3 linked regions of the Alligator mississippiensis genome follow. The protein of the gene in region 1 interacts with the protein of each later gene in a biochemical or structural test. Links are inferred from orthologs where the notes say so. Each region holds a gene or a part of one and is shown in the gene's direction. Other genes may lie near its edges. The genes, in order: MPDZ, HTR2A and CYSLTR2.

Evidence for each region.
Region 2: the proteins of MPDZ (region 1) and HTR2A form a complex in vitro, tested with the Homo sapiens proteins (2 studies listed by IntAct, with this or other methods). The link is inferred for Alligator mississippiensis from reciprocal best matches to the Homo sapiens genes MPDZ and HTR2A.
Region 3: the proteins of MPDZ (region 1) and CYSLTR2 interact in a test that uses a peptide from one of them, tested with the Homo sapiens proteins (2 studies listed by IntAct, with this or other methods). The link is inferred for Alligator mississippiensis from reciprocal best matches to the Homo sapiens genes MPDZ and CYSLTR2.

The regions. Positions count from the first base shown.
Region 1 is NC_081826.1:183,139,778-183,147,689, forward strand, and holds the start of MPDZ (multiple PDZ domain protein), read left to right. Parts: upstream 1-4,863; 5' UTR 4,864-5,021; intron 5,022-7,912. UniProt on the Homo sapiens protein: Member of the NMDAR signaling complex that may play a role in control of AMPAR potentiation and synaptic plasticity in excitatory synapses. Promotes clustering of HT2RC at the cell surface.
Region 2 is NC_081824.1:412,486,559-412,493,616, reverse strand, and holds the start of HTR2A (5-hydroxytryptamine receptor 2A), read left to right. Parts: upstream 1-4,031; 5' UTR 4,032-4,414; exon of another isoform or gene 4,415-4,757; 5' UTR 4,758-5,070; coding exon 5,071-5,527; intron 5,528-7,058. UniProt on the Homo sapiens protein: G-protein coupled receptor for 5-hydroxytryptamine (serotonin).
Region 3 is NC_081824.1:413,727,619-413,735,577, forward strand, and holds the start of CYSLTR2 (cysteinyl leukotriene receptor 2), read left to right. Parts: upstream 1-4,859; 5' UTR 4,860-5,001; intron 5,002-7,829; 5' UTR 7,830-7,959. UniProt on the Homo sapiens protein: Receptor for cysteinyl leukotrienes. The response is mediated via a G-protein that activates a phosphatidylinositol-calcium second messenger system.

The DNA.
Region 1 (7,912 bases):
TAGTAATATTAGAGATAGCAATTATACAGGCAAATCAGCTGTACTTTGCTTTTTAAGTTTACATCTGGCACAAATAAAAGAAGCATATGCAAACTGTGACACTTAAAACTGTGAAGAAATATACTGGAGCCCAATAGTGATAATAATGATAATAGTACCTTATTATCATAGTCCTGTGACAGATGAAAACATGTTAGTTGATAAAAGGGTTCAGAAGATAAATCAGAACATGATGGACTACAACATTTAGGTGGTATTAGGCAGAACACCTTGACCACTTTTAAAGTGTAAGGCTGAAGAATACCTAAAAAGGAACATGAGCAAGCTTAGTGGATGTCAATTCAAGTAGTAAAGGACCTGCTTAACTAATCATCTGGAATTCTTTTAAGAAGTTTTTAGAATATCTAGCTTGTCAAAACATCTATGTAAGGTAAAAAAGAAAGTCTCCAACAGGCAGTTAAATAAGGCTCTGGATAGAAAACTGTTTTTTAATATTTTTTTTCATATAAGAGATGCAATGCAGAGAAACTTTCAGATTTTATTGGTTCCCGAGTTCAGTAACATGGCTGCCTGAGTTTGCTGTCTATTATTTGGAATGCAGTACCATTCCATTTATCTAAAACACATTTTTTACTCTGTCTGAAATGAAGTTATGTACGTGTAGCCTGGGTGTACGTGGGTTTGTACTCCCCTCTCCAGTTGAGGGAATTATTGGCAGGGCAGTGTGCTGTGGAGGGACACAACAGCCCATCAGCCACTTCCATCCCCTATAGAATCAGGCCCAGTCAATCAATTACTTAACTATATACACATTTATTATTTGAACAAAATCATTAAAGGGTAAGGACATACACACAACCAATTATTTAAAAATACAGATGAACAATAGAACAATCCAGAACAAAGGATACTGATCAGGCAACCTTATATTACATATTATTATTATTAATATACAAACTATTGCTTCAATTTATTCACATATACTATAAGGCACAGTCTACAAATATAACCAGCAATCCTTAGACTACCAGGGCAGGGGCCCCACTCCCAAGGTACCACTATAGGAAAGGAGATGGGGACAAAGAAAAGGAGAGGGAGACCCCCATAGACTCCTAAACTTCCCCACTATCCCCCAGGAGCGGCCCATGTGGTGCCCCTTCACAATTCTGGGGATCCCTCCTCTGTGGGGACCCTTTCTCCAGGATAACTTAGTACTCCACAGTCCTGGAGGGTTGCCTCCTGTTCTCCAGGTTGAGCTCTGTTTCCCGCTGAGCTTTCCTGCCACCTGACCATGCTGTTGCCGGCCTGGCTTAGGGCTACATACACGGTTGCGTGTAGTGGGTGCTTCACCTTGTCCTAGGTGTTGGAGGCCTAGACAGCCTTGTGCAGCACCAGGGCTTGGTCTACTCCCAGACCCTCTGGGCAGTGTCTTATGCACCAAATTGCTGTCCCGAGCCACCTTGAGCAGCTCCTGGTGTCTCTCACTCTCTGTGCAGAGCCTCCTACACTGAGCTCCCAGCCTTGTGCTGAGTGTTGTGGATCTGAGCTGCCCAAGGGGCTCCAAAGATCCTGCTCCGCGCACTGGCTTGTGCACTGTGTCTCTGGCTGCATGCCAGAGGTTGCAGACCCGAGCCATCTCACGCAGCTCCTAGGGTCTGGATGCCGTGCTGCATACTGAGAGCCTAACCGCTGGAGCCGTCCACTGCTCCCCGCTGATGGAAGTCTTCAGGGGCACTTCTGTTGCCAAAACGGCTAGTTTCGTTCCCCTGGAGGCTTGTTCAATTACCCTCAAGGAAAGAGTCACACATACAGGCTGGGTCCATCTAGGTTTATTGTTTGCAAACAGTTCGACCGAGGAGCAGAGAGCTCAAATCAGGGCCGACGATGAGTCCGGCCTGGAATCACATTTTTATAGCTTACATTCAACAGAGTCTTGATGTACTAGAAGTTTATTGGCTGCAGTACCAGTTCCTAATTGTGACGTCTTATCTTGTAGGCTGTACTTAACTAGTTATTGGTTAATGTGACTTATCAGGGTTAGTACGTGCGCAGTCAAAGGTAGAATTGCAGCATGCTCAGAAGAAAAGAGCAATTTCAACAAAGTTAGTTAAACTTTAGTAACTTCTTATCTTAACGTAACCTTAAGGCACTGGACAGAGATGATTTCAAAATGCAAGGCAAGCAGTAAGAACCACAGCTTGGACATTAGACCTCCTGATCTTTACACAAAAGGGTCATAAGATGGTCATAAGACACTTCTATCATATGGTTGTTGCTCAAGCATTACTGCAAAATTATGGAGGTTAACGTCTTTTTACTACACTTCTGGGCTACTGCTTCGCCTTGCTGAGCAGCTTTCCTCAGCTCTTCTAAGCCCCACTCTTCTCTGTTCCTGACACATCTCCCTCACTGGGCATGTAGCCTTTATACGCTCCAGAGCTCCACCCATGTAGTCTTCCAGACCTGACAGTTTGCAGTGTTCAATCAGGTCTGGAAAAGCTCTTCTCCCCCTCCCTTCAGGAAAGGGGAGTGACTTTATTTCTCTTGCTTCCTCCTGATGGGTGGATGGGCTCCACCAATCAAAACAGCAGGATCTCAAGCCTTGGCCTCAACCCAAGCTCTGAAAGGTAAACCTGCTACATATGTATGTATATTATGATTATGTACCTTTCAGTATGTTTATGGTAGTGTTTATAATTCAGTTAAATTTTGATAAATCAAATCAAAACAAAAACACTCCAAGCAAATTAACAACAAGTACCAGGCTCTAGCAGACACAGGGATGATGTACTTCTTTCTGGTACTGAGGATGCTATCACAACTGGGCTGCCTTGAGTAAACATGGAACAAGGGGCAATTTCCTGGTGAGAAACTGAGATAAGATACCAACTCCAGTGTCATTTGCTAGATGAAAAGTGTTCACGAAATAGAAATCAAAGCCTTTAACATATACAAGGAAAAAGCAAACAACAAAACAGTGGGACCTTCTTACATTGAAAATAAATTTTGTTGTCATCACTATCATTTTTTAAAATTATTTGGACGTTTGTATATTTGTAAAGGGCATAGAGAATTATTCTTTATACATTGTTTAGTTTCTGAAATTATTTAAAATTCTAACAAAAACTTTAAAACAAATTAAGGAAAAGGCACCTTATGTTTAACCTCATGCACAACTTTTAAAAAATAAACATGTTTTTAGTTTAAAATATCCAAAGGTTTGCCCCTCTTTATCTTCTAACTTCAAGCCTTAGATAAAATACCCACTTCTCATACCAAACAGCAAGATACATGTTTCCATTATACTTTAAAAAGAAATATTTCTTCTTCCCACCTCCCTAACAGATTACTTTGCTAACTGTTCTATTTTACTTCTGAGGAATATATATATATATATATATATATATTCAGCTACTATTAGAAGGGAAAACAGTAAAAATAAAAAGACCACTGGGTTTACAACTAATTGCGGGGTGGGGGCAGAGGGGGAAGAGGCATTCTTACATTCTTCAGTTAATGTAGCTTGGCTTAATTTTGTAAAAGAAACCCAAATAAACTTATTAATGGCATAATGTATCAGGTGTGGAACAAGTTTTCAACGGAAACAGCGGACACCATCATTTGAGATATTTAAAGGGACACCATGCAATAAAAGTTGTATGAGTCTGATTTTCCCCCGTATTTGTTTACAGATACATGTTAGAAATACAAAATTAGATTTTATAGATTTGATGGCACATGCTTTAGACAGCTATAATGGCCCTGGGTGTGTGTGCGTGTGTGCATGCACTAAACCCCTGTACTTGTTAAATGGTGGCTGCAAAACCAGACTAATTGGAAAACCACACTAATTGGTGAAGGAGTGGGGAGGTCATGTGTTGTACCTGAAATCTAAATAACTGCCTTAAAAATGGAGAAAAAAAATACTTCACTCGATTGCAGTTGGCAAAGGGGGGGGGGGGGGGTCATCTGTTGTACCTGAAATCTAAAGAAATGTATTTTTAAAAAAGGAAAAATATAAATACTTCTTTAGATTGCAGTTAGCACAGGCAGGACAGAGGGGAAAGTAATGTTGTACCTAAAATCTGAAGAGCTGCTTAAAAAAAAAAAAGGAAAATTATAAAGCCTTCATTAGATGGCAGGTCCTTTCAGACAGATCTCTGAGAAAGTAGCACACCACTACCTGGCCATAGTGATCACAAAACTCTTCACTGGGTTTTTTGCCCCTACATTGCTTGTTTGTGCAGCTGGAGGCAGTTTTGTGTGTGTCACTGCAGTGCTTCCCAGCCTTTAGTTTCAGCATTTTCCAAGGGGGCGGTGGTGGTATAGAAAAACAGGAGGAGGAAGCAGTCTTTGGCAGGCAGTTTCAAAGAAGATGTGGGGTGCTGAGTCTTATCCAGCTCCATCTCCTGCCCTGGAGAGAGAGAGCAAAAGAGACAGAGAGGAGCACAGCACCCACGCCCCTTCCCTGAGCTAGGGTGTTGGTTTTAGCTGTGTTGGTTTAAGGACACAGGCAAACCAGGCTCTTTGGGTAGATGTGATCTCTTTTATTAGGGCAACTACAATAAATCGCTGGAAAACAATTGTTCTTTGCAAGCTTTTGGGCACAAGCACCCTTCCCTATGCCTGACGAAGGGTGTTTATGCCCCAAGGTTTGCAAAGGGCCAGCCCAGGGCTCTCTGCAAGCTTCTTCCTAGGGCAGCATGCGGGCCCCTCCTGTTGCTGCCTGCTGTTGTCATGGTTCCTCCTCTTCCAGCCAGCTCCCTGGGCTCGGCTCGGCTCGGCTCGGGAGGGAAGGGGAGGAAGACTGGGCGGGGGGGGGGCTGGGCGTCTAGCCGCTCCATGGCTGGGCAGGATTAAGTTTCATGGTAGCCTGCCTGCGTATGTGCGGGCGCTTATCCTGCAGCTCCGTTAGAGAAGGGAAGGGGGGTGGGCAGCCAAGCCAGGAAGCGAGGTCTACAAGCCACCCCCCACCCCTGCAAGCTCCGACCCTCCCTGAGGCCGCTGCAGCGGCGAGCGGGGTAAGCGGGGCGCGCGGGGCGCTCGTTGCAGCGCGGGGGCTTCTACAGAGGGGATAATGGAATGCAATAGTAGGCGCCCTTCCCCCAGTTGTTTGTATTGCGGCCGGAGCGGGGGTGGGCAGCCTGTTGCGTGCGGAGTTGGGTGCACCCCCGGGCCGCGGGAAAGGAGCTGCGCAGCCTTGTTTACTGGGGGAGGGGGCTGCAGCCGGGAAACACCCGCGCTACTGCCGGCATCGCCCCCATCTCCCTGTCCCTTGCCGGCGGGTCTTGGCGCCCCCCCCGTCGGCCGTGGGGGGCTGGGCCTTGCCTCGCTCTCTGGACGCGTATTTTTGCAAGCGGGGCCGGGTGGGTAGGCATTCAAGTGCCCCGGGCGGGGTAGGGGCCGAGGGACGTGTTGCACGCGCGGAGACTGGGGTGCCAGGCCGGGCAGGAGCGAAGGATGCGGCTGAGGAGGAGCAGCCGCATCCTCCTCTTCTTCGTCCGGCTCCGGCGGCTGAGCCCGGGGAGGGGCCGGCTCCCCGCGGGCTGGGCCGGGCTGCGGTCCGAAACGGGCATGAAGAGGGGCGCCCCACCCGAGCATGGCTGAAGGAAGGACACAGCACACCGCCCCCACATCATGGTTGAAGGGATGATGGAGGGACACAGTCGGCCTTCTGAAAATACCCAGCTCTCTTTTCCTCCACCCCCCCATGGCTGAAGGGAGCGTGCACACCCCAACCCCCCCCCCCGATGTAGGGACACACTCTTCTTTCCCTTCTGAAAATACTCAGTTCACCTCGCCCCCCAATCATGGCTGAAGGGAGAACACACACCGGCCCCGACCATTGCTGAAGAGAGCAAGGAGGGGGACACACTCTTCTTTGCCTTCTGAAAATTACCATCTCTCCCTCTCTCTCTTTGCTTTTTGAACATACCCAACTCCTTCCCCAGTTATCATCCTTGGCTTTCAAATAACAGCCCCAAACCCGTAGCATTTTTGCCACAGGCATGTATAAAGTGTTTATAAGGGGGTCCAGAAAACTTCAGGGTTCAGCGATGTGGCAGCTACTGGCTGCATCCTTTTCTGTTTTATGTGAAACCACTTTTTTTTTCCTAAGCGGGATTGGAAGGTCCCGGTGACATTGCATTTGCAGTTTCCCCAGGTTTTTCTGCAGATCTTATCTCAGCAAGCATGAACTCCTTTTAATCAACACACAGTCTTTAGACATAGCTTCATAGCGGATTCCAGAGAATACAGAGAAGTATGAGCAAGGCCAAAATTATGCCTTTGGAGAGGAAGGTTGGCCCAGAGGGAGTTGGGTGCAGGTGTCTGAAGTAGAGAATATGACCTGGGATATTTTATTTTTTGATCTCACTTCAGGTCTATTTCTGTGCACTTGTAAACACTTGGTAGGGTTAGAATGATGTAGCCATGATAGTCCAAGGAATTATTTGAGAGGCAGGTATTTCTTAGGGTGATGTCTTTTACTGGACCTAGTTGGGATGGAGTTAGACAAGTTTTCACATGCAAGACATTCGTAAATGGAGATGACCATATAGCAGTACATTATAGGAACTTCGGAGACAAAGGTGACATTTTGGTCTCTATTGTTTACATTTAACCATATGGATGTATTATTTTGTTGGTCAGTCTTTTGCCTTTTTTCCCCCTTTAGTTTTAAAAACAGTATCTCATCCATCTTTTGTATTTTTATCTATCATCACCAGCAGGTAACTAGGTTACTACAATCTTTTGAAAAGAAAATGTTATTTTACAAGAAATCTCAACAAAATGGAGAGGAGTATGAAAGAGAGACAAAAGCAAACTCTTACATAGGAGTTTTGCTTAAGCATAGTCAGGAATCATAAGAATCCAGTCCTGCTCCCTTTGCAATCAGCAATTCAATGTCTGAACAGAGCTAGGCCCACAGTAGTATTATTGTATCACTTGCTTTCATATGGGTGACACATTGGGAGTAAAGAATATCAAAACTAAAAGTGAAAAATGCGAAATGTGAATTGTTTCTTTAAAACCTTGTTTGATTTGGATTAGAAAAAGTAAGGATGGGTATGGATATAACACAGGAAAATAAACCCAGAATTGAGTATTTAATATAGCTAAAAAAAATTATAAGGAACTTTCATTACCTATCATTAATGTATTTGTTATTGTGTGGCTCAATTTCACACACAGGATTTGCCCCAAATTACTCCTAATTGGCAGATTAGGAAATTTCAGTAATTTATACAGAAAACTATTAGCCAGTCACTCAAGGGAGCAAAATCTTGTATGATTATATTGACAAAATAAAGACAACTGAATATTTAGTTTATTGAGGTGCAAATTACCTTATAAAATGATTATGTGTAAATATAAATTATATTTTTCAACTGTTAGGACAAGATGATATTAAATAATTGAGAGAGCTGTCATATCAGATGGGAGTGTACTAGAGAATAGCAGTCTGAGATCATTATTTTAAAATGAACATGCTCATTTATTTAGCCCATACCAGATAAATTATAAATGGCCTAGAAAGCTGTTTGGGGAGCAATTTCTTTTCTTCAGCATTTCAATTTTACTTAGAACCAATGGGCATGAATGTTTTCTAGCTGCCTACTGTGGCCTTCATGGCTTTTTTTTTCTTTCCTAGCTGATTCACTATTTTGGTGTTTCTTTGAAGTATTTTCCTTATCTCACTAATGGAGAAACATTTTTATGGAGCTATTTATGTCACTGACCTTTATGAATGTCCTCTTATGAATTCCAGCCTACTATCAGCAAATGTTCCATCAGGACCTAGATATGTTCTTCTATTCCTGGAAGAAAATCTGCACTAGAACAATTAGATCAGTATCAAGACTGGGAAACAAGAACAGTATTGCTTTAATGCTAATGGGTAACCTTTATT
Region 2 (7,058 bases), on another chromosome or scaffold:
CGGCACAGTTGCTGGGCCCAGCCTCCCCTAGCTCACCCAGGGTAACCTGCCATGCACCAGAGTGCCCATGGCATGGGCATTCCCCAGGGACAAGTAGCAGTGGCACAAAATGTATCTTTCGTCGTGCATCCCCCCCGAAGGGCTAGCTACATGGTGAGTAATAATAATATCAGAATCAAAGTGATACAAAAGAAAGCACGCAAACTAGAAGGAGCAGTCTCTAGAAAGAGATTATTAAATCCAGCAGGAATGTAATTTTTTGCTCACAAGGTGTGTTGCTGCTACTTGTCCCTGGGGAAACAAACAACCACGCTCATTTGGATGTGGCCTGAAAGGGCAAAGGCAGCTATGTTTTTACTGGTAAACTTAAGTAGGCACCTACATTTGTGCTACTTGCATTAAATGATGCCACCTTGACAAAGATGAGTATCTCAGCCACTGTCTCATACCTATATCCATTTGGGATTTATTAACTAGCCATTTCTGGTCCTAAGTCTCCTCAAGGTACTGATCCAGTAGGTGCACTCAGAACACACCTAATGCATGTTGGCAGGGTTAAGTTCAGCAAAGAGCACAATAGGCCTTGCCACTCTTATGCACGGCTTGAGGAGGGAGTGATGCCAGTGTCCATGTCTATCAACAACTACTAGCTAAAACAGTTGCTCAGAAAATGGAGGACCTACTGTTTAGGCCCTTCTTAGCCTCAGGGATCTCCTGGTATCAAAAAAACAGCCACGCTACAAATTAGCAGTGTAGCGAATGGGTGCATGTGCACTGCATGTAGTTTGTGGTGCCTCAAACTACTTTTGAGGTGCTGCAAACTGGACGTGGGCACTCATCTGGATGTGTCCCAGGAGTTCAAAGCCACAACTCCCAGGAAAGTATGCTATCCACCAGTGTGGGCTGGGGTTGGGGGTTGTGTTTTGTGAATTAAAACAGTCACTTAAAGGAATGGAAGATGACTGAAAAGTAGGAACAGAGAGAGGCTATCAGAAATAGCTTCAAAACAAGGGGAATATAGTTCAAACGAACGCCAACTTACGTAGAACAGGACTATTCAGAAGAGAAAAGGGTTATTATTACCTGTGGAGTGCAGAGATTTTAGCAGAGATAGCAGGTAGAGTGTAGTGAGTCAGAAAGACATTTTTTGGGCTTAATCTATGATTTTTAGTGTTATGAATGTTATAAATGTTGGCTCCCACGTCTGTCTTTTGAAGGTGTTTTTCAGATTTCCCTTGACTAAAAGGACTGTGAGGTCAGAAACAGAGTGGTTGTTCCATGAAAAGTGTTTTCCTTTTTTCTGTAATTATTCATTCTGTATTGTTGTACCTGTGATGGTTTAGGAAATGTACTAGAGGCAAGGGTTTTTTGTGATATCTTTTACGGGACCAAGCGTATAGCTGGGAAGGATGTTGGACAAGATTTCCAACACAGGGTTGTACAACAACACTCCAACCCTACTACAATGTGGAAAAGAATAGTCAACTAGTCTCCCATAAGTGTCATGGCACAGATATTACAAAGGAATAGGAAAAATCACGGAAGGGGGTTTAATTCCACTATTTATCCCAGAACACTTTACATGACTGTACTACTTCATTTGGCAGTGGTGTAGGTTGTAGCTGTGTTGGTCTAAGGACATAGGCAGACATGGTTCCTTGGGTGAATTTGATATCTTTTATTAGACCAACCCAAATGGTTAGAGAATAGTTATTAAGCAAGCTTTCAGGTTCAAAAACCCTTCGTCAGGCTAAGGAAGTTTCAGCAGTTGGTGTGTGCTCTTCCTGGATAGAATGAAAAGTAAAGAAGCCAGAGGCTGGGCTGGGGAGTCAGTTGCCAGGCAGATTATAATGTGTCAAAAATCCAATGTCTATATTTAGTCCATGATCTCTAGTATCCAGGAGGTTGATGAAATGGAGCTCATAGGCTCGTCTCTGGGGAGTGTTGTGTAAGTTTCCCTTGAGGATCAGGACTGAGAGACTGGAGAGATAGTGGCCCTCCTGTGAGAAATGTGCCCCCACCGGTAATTGGGTATTTCTGTCTTTGATAGATTTCCGGTGTGCGTTCATTCTGGCGTGCAGTTGTTGTTTGGTCTCTCCTACGTATTTTCCATCAGGGCATTTGGTGCATTGGATGAGGTATATTACATTTCTGGAGGTGCAGCTGTAAGATCCAGGAATGCTGCTGGCTCTGTTGTGGGGTGTAGTAATAGTGGGGGTGGTGGAGATGTGTTGGCAGGTTTTGCATTTCTTGTCATGGCACGGTCTGGATCCTTTTGGTGTGTTCTGGGCTTAAGGAAGTTTGCTTCTGGTGATGAGGTTGGTGAGGTTCGGTGCTTGTTTGAAGGCTAGGATGGGTGGCTCTGGGAAGATCTTTTTAAGAATAGGGTCTCTTTCTAGTATGGGTTGCAGTTGTTTGAGGATTTTTCGTGCAGGTTCAAGGGAGGGGTGATATGTCATAACCAGCGGTGTGCAATTTGTGGGTGTTTTTCTTCTGTACTGCAGCAGTTCTTCATGTGGTATCTAGGTGGCTGTTTCAAACATGCGATCTACCTCTCTGGAGGAGTGTCCTTGTTGGGTGAAAGCCTTTTTAAGATTGGTGAGGTGGCAATCCCAGGTGTTCTCTTCAGTACAAATGCGGTGGTATCTGAGGGCTTGGCTGTATATCACAGCTTTTTTGGTGCGTTTAGGGTGATTGCTGGTTCTGTGCAGATATGTATGTTGGTCTGTGGGTTTCTTGTATAATGTGGTTTGTATTTTATCATTCTGGATATTGATCATCGTGTCTAAAAAGGAGATGCTGGTGCTGGAGTATTCTAGAGAAAGTCGGATGGAGGGATGGTGATTGTTGAATTTCTGATGGAACTCAATCAGAGATTGTAGGTTTTCAGTTCAAATGATGAAGATGTCATTGATATATCTTAAGTATAGCAAGGGTTTGATGGTGTAGTTCTTGAGGAAGTCTTCTTCCAGGTGGCTCATAAAAAGGTTTGCATACTGTGGGGCCATTTTAGTGCCTATAGCTGTTCCCATCATCTGGAGGAAGTGTTGGTTATTAAAAGTGAAATTGTTGTGTGTGAGGATGAAGTGTATAAGGTCAGTAATATCTTTGGGTCTGTAATCTGTGTTGTAATCTTGTTCCTGTAGATATGTAAGGCAGGCTTGGATGCCATCCTGGTGTGGGATGTTGGTATATAGGATGGTAACGTCCATGGTGGCTACGAGTGTGTTGCTGGGAAGGTGGTCTGTGAACTCCATTTCATCAACCTCCTGGATACTAGAGATCGTGGACTAAATATAGACATTGGATTTTTGACACATTATAATCAGCCTGGCAACTGACTCCCCAGCCCAGCCTCTGGCTTCTTTACTTTTCATTCCATCCAGGAAGAGCACACACCAACTGCTGAAACTTCCTTAGCCTGACGAAGGGTTTTTGAACCCGAAAGCTTGCTTAATAACTATTCTCCAACTATTTGGGTTGGTCTAATAAAAGATATCAAATTCACCCAAGAAACCTTGTCTGCCTACTTCATTTGGGGCACTTTTCTTCCAAATAGGTTATCAGGGTTTATTTGTACCTTCCACTTCCTGACAAATAATTAAATTATGATTACTTTTTATTTTTTATAAATATCTGTTGGCAGTTTGGTTAGGTCATCAGCACACACCCAGGAATCAGATAAGGGAGGACTGAACATGAGTAATTCAGTTTAGGGTTAGCATAAAAGCTGCAACCTTTAGGATGGAAAAAGCTGCACATTTACAGTTTTACCAGCATGTACCATTACTATCTTTATTTATTGTCTTCCTCAAACATTCACCCCACAAGATATTATAATTGTACACAGCTGGCTTGAAGGGCATCCTTTGCAAAGGGAAAATGTGCATTTTCTTAAACAAAACTAAGACCTCAAAAATGATCAAATGAAAAAACTGGCAGTTACCAAAAAAAGACCCTATTTGGTCTGTCCTCCTTTGCTGTTGCTACCTTGCAGTTTATGACATCTAGATAGTGGGAGGTCTGACAAACTGAACAAGGCAGTGAGCAAGAAATTACATTCCTGTTGAAATCAGTAATCTCTTTCTGGAGACTGCTCCTTCTAGTTCGTGTGCTTTCTTTTGTATCACTTTGAGGGGGGGTCTGATATTGTTATTACTCTCCATGTAGCTTGCCCTTGGGGGGGAAAATGCACAAGGAAAGATACAGCAAGCAGCCTCTCTCTCAGAAGAAAAGAACAAGACTGGCTACACAGGAACTGGCTTCTCTCAAGTGTACAGTTTAGAAGTCAACGTAACTGTAATCAAAATACTAGTGTTTTTGTGGCCACTAGAGAGAAGGGACTCAGAGAAGGATATGGCAAATCAGAGTACAAGGTGGATCTAAGGAACTTTGAATGTGGGCTCTCAGCAATGTAAGTCTTCCTATACTATATTTTTAATTGTAGCATTTAGTCATTTTATTTCTATTTTGAAGCCATGCTGAGCCAAAAGATACTATTAGATATTAAAATCAATGTGGAATATTACTTGTAATCACTGGTGTGAGACTCAGAATGATATTGAAATATGACAGAAGTCAGAGACTATCAGCCAGTAATATGGAAGATGAACTATAAATAAGAGCATATCTTATTATTGTAAGAGTTAGATGCTGGGTGGAATCTTTAATCAACTTTCTCATTGTGGAACAGAGCTCTGCTGTTTTGTATAGCAAGCTATTTTAATACTGCTGCATTTAAAATTGTGTGATTACAGTTATGAAGAGCAATAAGATGTAGCTACAGAAGAGAGTCCTGATGGTTGCAAAAGTTTTTTGCCCATTGTTTTTGCTCTCCAAAACCTCAAGTCCACATTTTCTATTCTCCATATTGATTTTGTTTTTCAACTGGATTTTTAACATATGCTAATAAGGGACTTCACAGGGAGCCGAAAAGAAAGTATTTCAGCGTTCAGAATAATTCCATCCGGATAATAAAGAAAAAGTAATTATCAAAAAATAATCCTTCCTTTACACCAGCTTCAGCTTTGGACAACAAAGGAATATAAAGCCTGATGGTGACAAAAATTTATGCTTTCAGCTTTTTACTATACATACTCACCAGTTTCAGCAATGGATATTCTTTGTGATGAGGAGAGTTCTGTGAACCCAACTACAAACTCCTTAATACAATTAAATCATGAGAGAAGACTTTACAAAAATGTTTTTGTATCTGGAGAGGTTAACACATCTCATCTGTTTAACTTAACTGTGGACTCTGAAAACCTAACTAATCTTTCGTGTGAAGGCAGTCCGAGCCCACCCTGCTTTTCATCATGGATTCAGCTTCCAGAGAAAAATTGGCCAGCTTTGTTGACAGTTATTGTGATTGTTCTAACCATTGCTGGGAATATTCTTGTCATCATGGCTGTGTCACTGGAGAAAAAGCTACAGAATGCCACTAATTATTTTCTAATGTCACTCGCAATAGCTGATATGCTGTTGGGTTTCCTTGTCATGCCTGTGTCAATGTTAACCATACTGTACGGTGAGTATCACCTGTGTAACCTACTGCATATATTGGGTAGCCTAATAACAGCAAACACATGTTATTATTGTTACAGTTTGAGGATTCAAGTAAAATATAAATGCAATCTAGCTTTTAAGATATAAGCTTGCTATCTCCCTCCCTATAATGCTATAATTGTTAAATATAGTAAAGAGAAGAATCAGTACCTATGAGCTCATTTCCTTTTAACTTCCAATTATAGATGTTTTAAATACAGTCCAAAAATCAAATTACCACTTTGATTCTGAGGGGATTATCTTGTTTTCTATGAAAATGCTGTGTTCTCAGTATTCTCAGTTTTGCCTCATATACTTTTGTCTCATATACATATACTTTTCAGTTTTCCTAATAAGTAAGTAATATCCTGTTAATACTTTTGCTCCACAAATATGCACAGGCAAATCAATGCCTTGGTGCACTTAGAGTTAAAATAACCTGCCTCATATTTTTACTGGTAATTAATTTACTGGTAATTAATTTCAGTTTCAAATAACCATCTTTACACTACGATCTTTATTTATATTATTTACCATTAAATCTTGGAAGAAGTATTTTCAAGGGAGCCTAAAATGTAGACAGGAGTTATTCATGACCAGTGTTTAGTAACATTTGAAATTGAATAAATTAATATTCCCTACCTTTTCTAAACAGCTATTATGTGAAAGTGTAAAGTGAACTAAGAAGCATGGTTAACTGTGATGCTGTTTACAGGTGATGAGCAAATTTCTTGGCATTTGAACCAAAATCTTTAGCAGTCTGGATCACCGAGGAAAAGCAGAAAACTTAAGGGTTAAATATAGACATTTTCCATGCTGGTTTCATCTTCAAATTTATAAAAAAAATACCCAGTATCACAATACAGGAGAGAAAAGAAAAAGAAATGGGGGAAGGGGGGATCTAATTTGAAAGATTTAAATAGCTTTTATGCTAGATTGAGTGTTACAGTTTTAAAGTACCAACCACTTCACAACAACTTGAGGGAGATTTCATTTGGAAAACTGCAATATAAGAATTTATTTCCCAATTTCCCTCTTTCAATTTTGCTATTTTTACACAAAGTATCCTGGATGGCATTAGCAAATAGGGATTCATATAAGTGTTCAATAAAGATTACCTTTGATGGTAGGGAAGACAATGCAAAATAAAGCTGTAGGGGCACTAATTGCTTGATCTGAGATATAAGTGAAAGACTCAAGCTCTGAATGATTCACTGAGGTGATCAACAGGGACTCCTGCTGGCCACTCCCTGCCACTGAGAAAGCTAATTTTTGCCTCTGCTTGGAAACCCACGTTTGATTGTGACCATTAATTTTAATTGCAGTATTTCTGTGATCAAATGATTTTTCTCTCTTTTTAACTTTGCACTGTGATGTCTGTTGCCAGAGGAAAGATCTCCTCTCAGGCTAAATGCATTTGAAAAACCAGTCATTCAGGCATACAATTTCCGAGAAATGCAGCATCAGCATGACGCACTGGATCACTTGTCACCATGACCAGCAAACAGCTTGCA
Region 3 (7,959 bases), on another chromosome or scaffold:
CCTAATGACAAAGTTTTTGCTAATATCTAACCTAAACTTCGCTTGCTGCAACTTGAGACTGTTGCTTCTTGTTCTGTAATCTGTCACCACTCAAAACAGTCCAGCTCCACCCTTTTTTGAACCCCTCTTCAGGTACTTGAAGGCTGGTATTAAGTCCTTTCCATGTCTTCTCTTCTCTAGACTAAATAAGCCCAGTTCCCTCAGCCTGTCCTCAGAAGTCACATGCCCCAGCCCCCTCACCATTTGCATTGCCCTCTGCTGGACTCTTCAATTTGTCCACATCCTTTTTGTAGTGGGGTGCCCAAAACTGAACACAGTACTCCAAATGTGGCCTCACCAGTGCTGAATAGAAAGGGAATAATCACTTTCCTTGATCTGCTGGCAACGCTTCTGCTAATGTAGCCCAGCATACTGTTAGCCTTCTTGGCAACAAGGGAACATTGTTGGATCATATTCTGTTTATTGTCCACTGTAACCCAGGTCCGTTTTCGCAGAGCTGCTGCTCAGCCAGTCAGCCCCCAGCCTGTACCAGTGCATGAGATTTTTTGAATCCCAATTGCAGGACTTTGCACTTGTCTTTATTGAACCTCATGAGATTTCTTTAGGTCCAATCCTCCAATTTGTCTAGGTCTTTCTGGACATGTCTACATGTGATACTACATTGCTGTAGCAATGCGCTACCATGACCTAGCATCCGTGGGTGTTTACATGTGACCAACAGCTATTTTGGCATAGCAACACGCTCCCCCACTAAAGTGCACCACAACAGTGAAGTAGCTGCTAAAAATAAATGCGCGTCACACGTATGACTCAGTATGAGCTGTTACTGCACTGTGATTTAGTACTTCCTTTTGGAAGTACTAAATCACAGTGCAGTCACAATATTGCCATAGCAACAATTGTAGATACACCCTCTGAATCCTAACCCTACCTTCCAGCATATCTATTACTCCCCCTAGCTTGGTGCCATCTGCAAACATATGAGACAGGGGCTCCTTTTAGGTAGTTACTAGGCTTGTCTTTGATGCCTGCAGCTTGCAGGTCCCAGCTCTTGAGGCCTGCAGTTTACAACCTGCGGCTTGCAGCCCTCTAGAGCTGCTGCCTGTGGCTCTGCAGCTATGTAATGCCACCCTTCTCAAATGAGTAAGAGAGGTTAGGGGCCCCTGTTACAGGACTTGCAAAACCAACTGTTCAACTCATCCTCTTATGGGGTGTGTGAGCAGTTTTGACACAAGCTGTACAATGCCCAGGGAGCCACCAGCCTATGGAGTGTTCTCAGAAGATTATTTTTGCCCATTCTAAGACCCTTTTATCTGGAAAAGCAATATTATGGAACCATTGTGTAACTGAGAGCTACCATCAAGGCAACAGAAAATGGTAAACTAGTTGATTATGACTGAGATTTTTCAAAGAGTCTGAGAGAAATGGATATCTATCTCCAATTAAAACATGGTAGAAACTGGGCATCTAATTTCCTAAGGACCAGTGTGCAGTTAGGTGCCAAAGTGCCTGATGCATCTTCTGCAGTTGGCTATGTGGTTGGTTTCCCAACATTGCTAATTCCAGCAAGTTGACCACATGCTATTAGTGGTGAAATGATTTGGAAATGTACCCTAATGTTTTCTTTTCATTTCATAGATTTCATAGACATTAGGGCTGGAAGGGACCTCAGAAGATCATCAAGTCCAGTCCCCGACCCCAGGGGCAGGAAGTCAGCTGGGGTCACAGGATCCCAGCAACATAAATGTCCAGTTGACTCTTAAAGGAATCCAGAGTAGATGCTTGCACCATCTCTGGTGGCAGTCTGTTCCAGGCCTTGGGGGCTCGGACTGTAAATAAGTTCTTCCTTATGTCCAGCCTGAAACAGTCTTGGAGAAGTTTGTGACCATTTGACCTTGTCATCCCATGGGGTGCTCTGGTGAACAGGCATTCCCCCAGATCCTGATGTACACCCCTTATATACTTATAGGCAGCCACCAGTTCCCCCTGAGCCTGCACTTTTCCAAGCTGAAAAGTCCCATGGCTCTCAACCTCTCATCATAAGGCCTGTTTTCCTGCCCTCTGATCATGTGTGTGGCTCTCCTCTGGACTCTCTCAAGCTTCTCCACATCCTTTTTAAATTTTGGAGCCCAGAATTGGATACAGTACTCCAGCTGCAGCCTCACCAAGGCTGAGTACAGCGGGAGGATGACATTTTGGGATTTGCTAGAGAAGCATCCATGGATGCAAGCCAGAGTTTTGCTCGCTTTGCCGGCTGCAACATCACATTGGTGGCTCATATTCATCTTGTGGTCAGTCATGACCCGCAAGTCCCTTTCGACCGTGGTGCTAGCGAGCATAGTACTGCCAAGCCTATAAGCATGCTGCAGGTTTTTCTTCCCAAGGTGGAGTACCTTGCATTTTTCAGAGTTGAAGGCCATCAGGTTTTCATCCACCCATTTTCCAAGCCTGTCAAGGCCAGCCTGGATCACCATCCTGTCCTTTTCCGACACCAATGTCCACATCATTAATGAAGATGTTGAAAAGGATAGGCCCAAGGATAGAGCCTTGGGGGACCCCACTGGTCATGGCGCACCACAATGATTGACTTCTGCCAACTACTACTAAGATGATTATAGGATACCAGATTGAAAGCTTTTTTAAATTCAAGATATATAATGTCAATCTCTTCTCCCTTGTCCAGGTGGTATGTCACCTGGTCGTAGAAGGAGATGAGATTGGTCAGGCAAGCCCTATCTGCAACAAACCCATGATGGCTATCCCACAAGAAGTTGCCTTCAGCCAGTTAGTCAAGAATGCTCTCTTTGATGATTTTCTCCAAGATCTTCCCGGGGATGGAGGTCAGGCTGATGGACCTGTAGTTCCCCGGATCTACTTTCCTTCCTTTCTTGAAGATAGGCACCACATTGGACTTCTTCTAATCTTCAGGCACTTTGCCTGAACACCACGAGTTCTCAAAGATCCGTGCCAGCGGCTGAGCTATGATGCCTGCCAGCTCCTTACGTACCCTGGGGTGTAAGCTGTCTGGGCCAGCTGACTTGAAGGTGTCCAGCCTCTCAAGGTGTTCCTTCACATGGTCAACACTGATGAAGGGTAACAGCTCTCTCTCACCCTGGCTGTCCCATACCATATTGAGCAAGGCCGTCCCTTGGGGCTGGTGAAAAACCAACACAAAATACCCATTGAGCAGGTTGGCTTTTTCCTGGGTGTCAGTTGTCAGTTGACCAATATGGTTTAGCTCGGGTGCAATGTTACCTTTGCTTTTCCTCTGGCTCCCCACATATCTAAAAAATGACTTTTTATTGTCCTTGATACGTGTAGCCAGTTGGAGTTCAGTTGCAGCCTTGGCTTTCCTGGTTCGCTCCCTGCAGGTCCAGACCAGTGCAGAGTACTCCTCCTTTGGGGTGGATCCAGCCTTCCATCCTTAATAGGCCTTTCCTTTTAGTCTCAGGAGGTCCACTAGTTCCCTGCAGACCCAGGGGGGCTGCTGTGCCCTTTTGCTGCCTTTCCCCCTAGATGGGATAGACATTGCTTGTGCTTTCAGGATTGCTCCCTTGAGGAGCAACCACTCTTCCTGAACTCCCCTTCACTTTGGGTCGTGGTCTCTTAGGGCCACGCCAGCAAGCCTCCTGAGCTTGTCAAAGTCAGCTTTCCTGAAGTCGAGGACTTCTGCTTTGCTGACTGGCTTGCCTGCTTTAAGGCAGATGGTGAAGGTGATCAACTCATGATCACTGTCTCCCAGCTTCCCTTCGATCATTAGGTCACTGATTAAGTCATCCCTGTTGCCAGTACCAGGTTGAGCAGAGCTCTGCCTCTCATCAGTCCATAGACTTCTTGAGTCAGATAGAGCTCATCCATGCACATGAGGAAGCTTTGTGACCATTCGGATTTGGCCGAGTGCTCTTCCCACAAGATGTCAGGGTATTTGAAATCTCCCATGACAACCATGCACTGGGAGTGTGAAGCCTTAGCTAGTTCCCTGGCGAATTCCTGGTCAAGCTCTTGATCCTGGCTAAGAGATCTGTAGTAGACCCCCACCATTGTGACCCCTATGCCTTTTTCGCCACCCATTTTGACACAGAGAGTCTCCAATCTTCCCTCCTGGGTGCTAATGTCAGCTTTCAGGGATGCATATCTTTCCTTGACATAAAGAGCTACTCCACCGCCCCTTTTGTCCGCATGATCTCTCCTGTACAAGGTATAGCTATCTATGCCTGTGGCCCAGTCATAGGTGGAGTCCCACCAGGTCTCCGTTATCCCTATGAGATTGTAATCCTTTTGGTTTAGCAGGAGGACCAGTTCCTCCTGTTTGTTCCCCAGGCTCCTGGCATTGGTGTACAGGCAAATAAGTGTCCCATTGGGGGTCCTTGCCTTTCCTACAGATTGCTCTGGGGCTGCCGTAGGGGTGGGTTCCCTTGAGTGCCTTAGCCTGCTGGGTTTACAGAAACTGCCCAGTGGGCTTGCAGTGGTGGTAATCCCCCCCTTCCCTGGTGGGCTCAGTTTAAAGCCCGGTCGAGTTGGTCAGCCAGTCTCGCTAAGAAGAGCCTCCTCCCCAGTGGATTGAGGTGGAGGCCATCTCTTCCCAGCACCCCACTGGGAAAATAGAATATTTTCCCAGGGAAAGTATTTTTTAATTATTTTATGGTACTCCAACAATTTACTGGTTTGATTATTGAAGTCTATAGATAGAAATGAGAGTAGTTGAGAAAAAGTTTCTAGATATATTACGTGGCTGCAGAGCCTTTTTTGATATTTTTTTGAACAAGAGATATATGTAGTATGGGAGCAAATGCCTTTTCTTGACCTAAGAAAATATCTTTCTGAAGAAATAAAACTTCTGCTAACAAATACTGACTTCCTTTTACTTTTCATTGGCTGTGGTTGTGATATAAATAGATGTAGGTTCTTTTCCCCCCTCCACTAGCAGGCTGGCAGTTTTGAACAGCAAAAGCTGAAGAAGGAACTAATGTACTGAATTAACTGAAAGCTACACATACTAAGGTAGGACAAGTTTGTAATTTTTTTTAGTTCAGTATTTAAGTTGATAAAGATTATTAACAGTAACTAAGGCCCCTCCTACTTTCCCCCCTGTTACTTACGAGAGGTCTTCTAGCTGCTGGAAATATTAGGTGTTTATTAAATAAGGTTCTTTTCTCCTTAAGAAAGGACATCAAGGTGGTTTTCTATAATTACAAATATTTTGAAACATGAAAGATAATAAACTAATGGTAGTTTACCAAAAATCTGAGTGAATGAATTTAATTTTCTTGCTAGGCGCAAAGTACGGATTGTATCAACTGGAATCTTTGTTTACAAAATTACCAATTCATTAAAAGGTGTGCGTGAGGGTGAATAAAATGTCCTGTCTCTGCACAGTTCAGCTTAAATCAATGCTAATTCCAAACCAACAATAAAGGAAAGTAACTGTTTGGCAATTCTCATCCTGAACTGAAATATAACATTCACAGGACAAAGTGAATCAGAGCTTCATTTTTTGTCCAATGTCCGTACATCTGGCTTTCTGAAAGGGCAGTAGCTGATGCCTGTAATATAACATAGATAATAACACATTGCTAGTCTAATGGCAAACTTGAAATCCCATAGAAAACTGTTTGGAGAAAAATATATGGTTTAAACAGCAGAGAAGGTATTTTGTATCAAGAAAATCATTTAAAAAGATGTATTATGACAAGTCCTCATTGGTATAGAGAGTTCAGTGTTTCAGAATTTCTGTGCACTTGCAGGTACATTTAATGTAGCTGGGATTGTGAATGTTCTGCATTTCTTAAAATCAGACTAGAGAATTTGCTTTTTTCATATCCAATATAAATACTGCTGTGTCATAATCTATTTCTCTTAAAATATAACAGAAATATATTTTACATTGTCAGGCTAAGGAATCTTAACCTTGTTTTAGTAGATGGTTGCTTTAAGATCTAGTTCTTTACTTAACTGAGGACTTGAGGTTATAGATTGCTAGGTAATCTTTGTTTTGTGGCTGATTTGTGTGTATTTAGTGGGATTGGCCATGCAATTTTCAATATTATTTAATGGTTCCAGGTTAGATTCTGGTCTCATTTCACTGGCATATGTAAGTTACAAATAAAAGAGTATGTTATACTGGTGTGGGTCTGATTCATAGATTATAGAGTCAGAAGGGACCACAATGGATCATCGTGTCCAACCCCTTGCCCCTGGCAGGAAAGAAGACTGAGGTCAGATGACCCCAGCCAGGTGACTGTCAAGCCTCCTGTTGAAGACCTCCAAGTTAGGTGATAGTACCACCTCTCTTGGAAGCCCGTTCCAGATTCTGGCCATCCTTACTGTAAAAAAATTCTTCCTAACGTCTAACCTAAATCTACTCTCCGCTAGTTTGTTGATGGCCTCGTTACACTGCCAGCTCATGTTCATCTTGGAGTCAGTTATGACTCCAAGATCCCTCTCAGCCTCTGAGCTGCTGAGGAGGTCATCCCCCAACCTGTAGGTGTGCTGGGGATTCCTCCTTCCTAGGTAGAGTATCTTACATTTATCTTTGTTGAACTGCATCCTATTTCATTCCACCCATTGATCCAATCTGTCCAGGCCAGCCGGTATCTGCTCCCTGCCCTCCGGTGTGTTAACTTTGCCCCATAACTTGGTATCATCTGTGAACTTGGAGAGGGTACTCTCCACAACCTCGTCCAAATCGCTGGGGAAGATATTAAATAACACTGGTCCAAGGACCGAACCCTGTGGGACCCCTCCGCCCACCTCCTTCCAGGCCGAGAACAACCCATCCACCACCACTCTCTGATGTGACAGGGAGCAGAATCAGGACCCATATTATTAATTTTCCAAAGTGTCTATAACTTTTTATAGACATTTTAATTCATCTAAGTCTGGTTGCCCCCAGGCTGATCTTGCCTGATCCTCAGCTGAATGTCAGAAGCAGGCACAGGCAGTCCCAGGTTCTAGTTTAGGACCAGGAGCTGCCCCAACCTGATTCCTAAGGATCAGCTGGGGATAGCCCCAGGACCCATGGCTGTCTGGATGCACCATAAACGTAACACCTGTGAGAACTCTTGAGGGATCAATAATTCAAGGAAGATTTTGTGGCTGGTCTCAGCTAAATCACCTAATCTGAAGTGCATTAGCTATTGTGCTGTAGGCCTGGTGTGTATCCCCTCCCCAGTTGGTTCTATGATGAATCTTCACTTCAGCTATAGACAGATATAACAATTTTACTGATATCAAATGCTACTGATATAAACTGCTGTTGCTGTTATGCCTGCATCATTCTGTAGTGATACATGTCATTCAGGGTTAAAGTTATAGAGATTTAGGTAACTTGTATCATTATAGGACCATGTAGATTGGTAATGTAAGGTTACCAAACTGTTGGATTGGTAATGTAATTGAGGGGTTGTGACCAGGGCATCAGCTGATGGCTGTCCACACCCTGCTATCAGTGCTGGCAGCGCAGCCTGATGCTACCCCACATGCCGCATAGTTGCCTTGCTTCACCTCTGAGTTAGATCGCAACAGCTAATGTGTACTCCCAAGCAGCAACTTCCCTTTCCCTTTTAAAAATGTTAAAAGGTACATTTCTCCATGGCAATATTTGAATCTCCCTATTACTCCTTTCTGTTGTGATCTTATTGGTGATACGCAGCTCTCAGTATCTTGCTGGGTGGTTTTCAGCAAGGTACTAGCCTCACTGTACCTCAGTTCCCTTAGCTTTTATGCTTACCACACAGGCTTAATTCACTCATATTTTTAAAGATACATGACACAAACTTTATAACAGGTTGCAGAACTCTGATTTTAATTCTTTTTTTTTTTTTTTTTAGAGTCCAGGACTTCTGACCCTAGCAAAATACAATAAATTATTTCTCTTACAACACCTTGGACCATGTTGGATTTCAGAAAAATAGGAAAATCAGCATCAGCAAACCTGTAAAGGGAAAACGTTCCTGATTT